2 linked regions of the Macaca mulatta genome follow. The protein of the gene in region 1 interacts with the protein of each later gene in a pairwise test. Links are inferred from orthologs where the notes say so. Each region holds a gene or a part of one and is shown on either strand. Other genes may lie near its edges.

Region 1 (3,833 bases):
AAATGAAGAACCTAAGATTCAAAAAGATTGACTACCTAATTCAGGCCATCTGATTTCAAGTTCAGTTCAAAATTAACCCGTACTCTTAATTCAGGCCATCTGATTTCAAGTTCAGTCCAGGATATAGTACAGGCATTGGCAAACTATAGCCCACAGACCTAATGTGACCCATGATTTGGTTTTGTACAGCCTATAAGCCAAGACTGATTTTTATATTTTTAAAGCATTGTTGAAGAAAAATGCAGCAAAGACTTTGTGGCTTGCAAAGTATAGCATATTCTAATATCCAGCCCTTTACAGAAGAAATTTGACAATACTCAATGCAGTAGAAAGAGGGTGGGTTTTACTCTCAAGCAAGTCTGAATTAAAATCTGAGTACCATCACTTGATTTTAGTTTGTGAAATTGCGCATGTTACTTGACCACTGGTAACTCTGTTTTTCTCATCTCTAAAATGCACATGTAAACCTATGTAATAAGATCTTGCCTAAGGGCTGTAAATTTGTAAGTTCTTACCTTTGAAGTATGTGGGTATTTTTTAGGATTTTCAAAAAAAAAAAAATTTTATTAAAGCAGTATAACGTAAAGTTACGTTGAACTTCAAAATTTGAAAGAAAAATCTTTATTTTTTCCTCCATTTTTTAAAGATCAAATGCATCTTTGACTAACAACCAGAACTTAATTCAGAGTCTGAAGGAAGATCTAAATAAAGTAAGAACTGAAAAGGAAACCATCCAGAAGGACTTAGATGCCAAAATAATTGATATCCAAGAAAAAGTCAAAACTATTACTCAAGTAAAGAAAATTGGACGTAGGTACAAGACTCAATATGAAGAACTTAAAGCACAACAGGATAAGGTATTTTGAAGAAGCTTTTCTTACAAAAAAGAATTAGGGTGAATGTTATGAAATCTTATTTCTTTGTAATTTTGAATATTACTAGCTTTCAGATACTAAACTCGTGTAACCATATATGATATCTTTATTTAAGAATAGTTCTTTAATATGCTGAAAATGCATTATAAACTCACAAATTTTGGTAAATACTAGATATATTTTGGTTCAGTTTTCACCTTTCAAGTACTCTCCATTTTCAAAGCTATGTTCTTATAACTCATTGGTAATTACAATTGGATATTAAAAAATGATGACTAATCAGGTTTTGTATAGTTTTAAATAAATTATTTATGTTAACCACCTATCAAAAAAATTCAGAAATCTTTATTATGTTTATATTTTGAATCTAAATGTTGTTTTTAATTCCTGAAGGTAAGGAATTTGTATATTGAGAATTACGTATTTATTACATGTTGGATTAGAAAATAAAGAAAAAATTCGCAATTACTACCCCTTTGTTTTAGCCACTATTAGTACATTAGTATCCCTTTTCATACATATAAGCGATGTGTTTTTTCAAAGAAATAATATTATATGCTTATATTATTTTGTAGTCTGCTTTTTTCACTTGATTCATTATTATGAAAATGCAGTTCAGTGTTGAAAATTCAACTATAATGCATCATTTTGATTAGCTGTTTAGTATTCAGTTATGTGGAAAACCACAACTAGTTCCCCGTTTTTGGAGATTACAGTTGTTTCATAGAAAATTCTGTTTCGAATACCTTCAAGGATAAAGTTTCTTTGCAAAGCTGTGATTATTTTCTTAGACAAACTTGCAGAAATTGAATTACTGAACGTAAATATTTAAGTGTATTATTACTGTTTGTTGTCTTAGGTTATGGAGACATCGGCTCAGTCCTCTGGAGACCATCAGGAACAGCATGTTTTAGTCCAGGAAATGCAGGAACTCAAAGAAACGCTCAACCAAGCAGAAACAAAATCAAAATCACTCGAGAGTCAAGTAGAGAATCTGCAGAAGGTATGAGTGTGAGAACAGTCTGTTCCTAATTCTTTCCTGTTATACACCTGAAGAAATATGTACTAACTACTGACAGTTTCTCTTACCATGTGGGAATGGATACATTTTATTCGTTTTACTTGGAATGGCTCCTGTAAGTAAGTAGTACCCAGTCATCTTCAGGTGTGCATTTAGTTGGTCTGACCACCATTTTTATGCTTCTATTTAATCTTTTAAAGAGCAAATTAATAAGTTATACTTTAAGTTGCTACCACATACAGTTTATATTGAAATGATTGAATTCCATGGTGAATACTTTGTTTTCCTTTAAAGACATTATCTGAAAAAGAGACAGAAGCAAGAAATCTCCAGGAACAGACTGTGCAACTTCAGTCTGAACTTTCACGACTTCGTCAGGATCTTCAAGATAGAACCACACAGGAGGAACAGCTCCGACAACAGATAACTGAAAAGGAAGAAAAAACCAGAAAAGCTATTGTAGCAGCAAAATCAAAAATTGCACACTTAGCTGGTAAATACCTGTTTAAAGTTTGAACTTGGTAATGAAAGTTGGTTGTGTGTTGCAGGCTTAAAATTAAATGGAATAGAAATAAAAGGTATCTACTATGAAGGGTGTGTTTGTGTCTGTGTGTGTGTGTGTGCGCGCTTTAAATATTAGGAATAATTAGTTGGACACAAAGAGCAATCCTAATTTTCAAGTGATGAGGACGTCCTTGATATGATGAAATTTTTCTCAATTGTTGGCTGGCAATAGATAATGGAGTACTGCTATCCTTCTGCTTTCATGAATAACAATTTTATCTTGTGACAGAGATCCTTTGAGCCCAGACCATGCTGCCTACACACCTTATGTAGACTGCATAAAGATCTTTACCAGTCCAGGGATTTTTTTGTGCCTCATATGGTAGTGGGCCCCTCTAGCTCTTTGGGGAGAGTATCATGTCAAATTTATGAAGAACCTAGTTCTTCAAGGATCAGGGGTTTATTCAGCCTTGCCTGTCAGTCTGCTGAGTAGTTAAATAAAATGTCAAATCAGTTGGGTTTTGTTACAGGCATTTTTTTTTAAATGATCTTTAAGACAATGTCCTAACAACTTACTTGATTTTAAAAGTTCTTGAATTATTTTTAAACAGTGCTGTAGATTATATGAAATAAAAATTTTGCAATTCATAATAATGAATTGAATGATACATTGAAATATAAAAGGGCTTCTGCTAACTCAGATCTTTAGTTTGTTGAGATTTTAGTTAGGAAAAACTAAATTTTTATGTTGGAGTAAGTATATTTTATATTCTAGTAATAAGTGAAAACATGAATGTACTTAGAACTTTGCTCATTGAGATGTATAGTATATCATAACTAATGTAGATGTTATAGTAGTAGAATCTGATGTGACCACGTGTCAATTAAGTGCATAAATGTTGTTTTAAATGTTTGATTGTAATATTAATATAATCACCTGGTTACTTCTTTAGGTGTAAAAGATCAGCTAACTAAAGAAAATGAGGAGCTTAAACAAAGGAATGGAGCCTTAGATCAGCAGAAAGATGAATTGGATGTTCGTATTACTGCTCTAAAGTCCCAATATGAAGGTCGAATTAGTCGCTTGGAAAGAGAACTCAGGGAGCATCAAGAGAGACACCTTGAGCAGAGAGATGAGCCTCAAGAACCTTCTAATAAGGTGATTAGCTAATTCTGCTTAAGTAACAAATTGTTTTTCTTTGTACATTTTACTTGAAAGTGCCTGGTGACATAGGAGCCTTTGTCAGAGTGAATTTTGGCTAAAATTCAATGTATGCAGAGAGAATTAACAATAGTGAAATATTTTTTGTAGCATTTTTAGTGGACTCTTGTGGGCTAGGAACAACAATCAAGAGCTTTCTCTTTATAGGTCCCTGAACAGCAGAGACAGATCACGTTGAAAACAACTCCAGCTTCTGGTGAAAGAGGAATGT
Region 2 (2,984 bases), on another chromosome or scaffold:
TCCTCTCTTCCATAGGTATCTGGAACCTAAACATTTTGGTTACGTTTGGTATAAATGCAATTGCTTCTGTTCTTTCCCTGCTGCTAGTTCAGTATCACTTCTGGTCAGCCTTCCAGCTTCTAAACCTTTGTTGCTGTTGTCACCTCTCTATCTTTGTAAAAATCCCTTGTTTTAATGCACTTTTCAAAGAAGATAGAGCTAAATGTATTTGTTGATTTCACAATCTTTAACCAGAAGTCCAGACTGCCCTTTTCCCCTTGGTCATAGGTAAGTTGTGTGATTTGTTGGAGGTGTCAAGTGAGTACTATGTGTCAGTGGAGAAAATAGTTTTATTTAGATTAAAAGACCAAAATATTTTAACTCTTTGCATGTTTTTATATGTAGAGGTCAGAGTCATTAATTTAAAAACCTGTCATTTTGCGGCCGGGCACGGTGGCTCACGCCTGTAATCCCAGCACTTTGGGAGGCTGAGGTGGGCAGATCACCAGGTCAGGAGATTGAGACTATGGTGAAACCCCATCTCTACTAAAATACAAAAAATAAGCCAGGCATGGTGGCATTCACCTGTAGTCCCAGCTACTGGGGAGGCTGAGGCAGGGGAATTGCTTGAACCCGGGAGGCGAAGGTTGCAGTGAGCCAAGATTGTGCCTCTGCAGTCCAGCCTGGGCAACAGAGCGAGACTCCATCCCCCCAAAAAACCCTATCATTTTGCCCTAATGAAGTATTTCTGCTTTAACTATTGTAGGTTCGGTTTTCCAGTTTGGCAGCAGCACTACAAATTTCAACTTCACAAACAACAATCCATCAGGAGTGTTCACATTTGGTGCAAATTCTAGCACACCTGCAGCCTCAGCCCAGCCTTCAGGCTCCGGGGGCTTTCCATTTAACCAGTCGCCAGCAGCATTTACAGTGGGGTAAGAGAATTTTTTATTGAAATGGAGAATTCACATTGGTAAGGGTATGTGCATGTATATGTTTTGTTTTTAAAAGTCATCAAGATTCAGTATGGTTTGGGTAAAATTAAATATGTTCTCCAACATAAATTTACCGTACTACAATTCTGGAGAGTTGTATTACAGTTTGAGAAAAAAATAACAGTAGCGTGTGTGTTAGGTATAGCAGAAAATGTACATAACAATGTGAGTCTGCTCCCCCGCCACCCTACCCTTCTGCTGCTCATGGTAAATGTTAGCATTTGGAAATTTTGCTCAGAGCATCATGTCACATTATGAAGTTTTTATTTTTCACAGGTCAAATGGGAAAAATGTGTTCTCTTCTGGAACTTCAGTCTCTGGTCGGAAGATAAAGACTGCTGTTAGACGCAGGAAATAAAGGTCACATTGGTGTTATACGCAATTTTAACAACAGCTGGTGCCCTGCTTTCAGATACTGGATTGTACTTTGTGCTGGGGTTATCTGAAGTCAGATCTGCCTAAGGACTTCTTTAATTTTGGAATTTTCCTCCTTTTTCGTTACAGAAGCCCCAACCCGCCTCACCCACCCTTTTTAAAAAATATAATAGCTAGACTGGTGACTGATTCTTCAGCAAAAATATTTTATGATCCAGCAGATTATTCACTGATTTGACATAGTCTGGCTGTACCCAGGAATGGAGCCTGCACGGCGAATGGCTTTGTATAGAACCTCTTTTGTCTACACCATTATGTGCGCTGATAAGCGTTTACGGAACGCATTGAAATTGTAATTATATCTGAGGAATTCTGTATAGATTAGAATTCTGTATAGATTAGAGAATGTTGAAACGGATGATTTCTATGCTGAGTTTGTGCTGGTGTATGTGTGAAGTGAGTGAGTTGGGTGTATTGTGCACTAAACTTTTCTGATAGAGGAAGCCTGATTAAAGAATGGTCCGTGCTGAGGACTTGTTAGATCTAGTTCATCCTCCATTTAATAATTATATGCTATTTCTATATTTTCATTCTTCTATCACCTGTCTTGCCTTTTTCATTATTTTATTATGAAACTTGTGTAAATACAATTTTGTTTCTGTACTTTTTTGGCATAACATAAATCTGTGAACTTGAAATTTGAATTTTGTGTTAGAGATTTTTTTGTTGTTTGTTTAGTCTTGTCTCAGATTTTATTATGTAAATCCCATTATTCAAAGTTGCCTAAATCCATTTGGAAATCTTTAAAAAAAAATTGGGGATTCTTAAAGTTGAATTTATTGGCTTTTCTGATCCAGTTTTGTTTGGACCAAAAACCAGTATTGTACAAAGTATTAAGCATATATTTTTATATTTACTAAAATGGACTGTGGTGACTTTGGATAATAAGGAAAAGTTTAATATTAAAGCCATGTTTATTACAGTATAATTAACATGTTAAACCATGGGATAAATGCCATCAATAAAAAATTATGACATACTTTTTGTTCTAGTTTTACCTCATAATGAAGACACATAGTATTATTGGGAGGGGACTTTTTAAAATAAAGGTTAACTGTCTCATTAGAAGAATACATTGACGTGATTTAGACAACTCCTAAGAGAAAGGGAAAGTATCTGAAAGTATCTAAATGCACAACATATAGAAGGTACCCTAGTTCTTGCCTGGTGCTATGAATCATGCCTAATTTGCACATCGACTTACATACCTTTTTTAAAAGTTGAAAATAAACATGCACATTCATTTCTCTTTGTGCTTCTATCTTCCTTGGTAAGTTACTGGATAGTGTTTATTAAAATTCTTGGAGATACATACACAAAAACTAGTTGTTTCTTGGTGTGTGCAGAAGAAATTGTTCCCAGAACCACACTCCTCCAAATCCCCCGCCCCCATACCAAAATCCACAAATTCACGCATACTCAAGTCCAGCAGTGGCCCCTGTAGAACCTGAGCCAAGCCTCTGAATGTGCAGGTTTTATATCCCATGAATACTGTGCTTTTGATCTGTGCTCGGTTGGGTTAAAAAAAAAAAAAGAAAAGAAAAGCCCGTGATAAGTGGGTTCACAGTTCAAACA

What was found.
Region 2: the proteins of TPR (region 1) and NUP153 interact in a two-hybrid assay, tested with the Homo sapiens proteins (3 studies listed by BioGRID, with this or other methods). The link is inferred for Macaca mulatta from reciprocal best matches to the Homo sapiens genes TPR and NUP153.

What each region holds. Positions count from the first base shown.
Region 1 is NC_133406.1:43,764,931-43,768,763, reverse strand, and holds part of TPR (nucleoprotein TPR), read left to right. Parts: intron 1-646; coding exon 647-857; intron 858-1,734; coding exon 1,735-1,878; intron 1,879-2,190; coding exon 2,191-2,389; intron 2,390-3,353; coding exon 3,354-3,559; intron 3,560-3,769; coding exon 3,770-3,831; intron 3,832-3,833.
Region 2 is NC_133409.1:165,447,516-165,450,499, forward strand, and holds the end of NUP153 (nuclear pore complex protein Nup153), read left to right. Parts: intron 1-745; coding exon 746-914; intron 915-1,250; coding exon 1,251-1,332; 3' UTR 1,333-2,388; downstream 2,389-2,984. UniProt on the Homo sapiens protein: Component of the nuclear pore complex (NPC), a complex required for the trafficking across the nuclear envelope. Functions as a scaffolding element in the nuclear phase of the NPC essential for normal nucleocytoplasmic transport of proteins and mRNAs.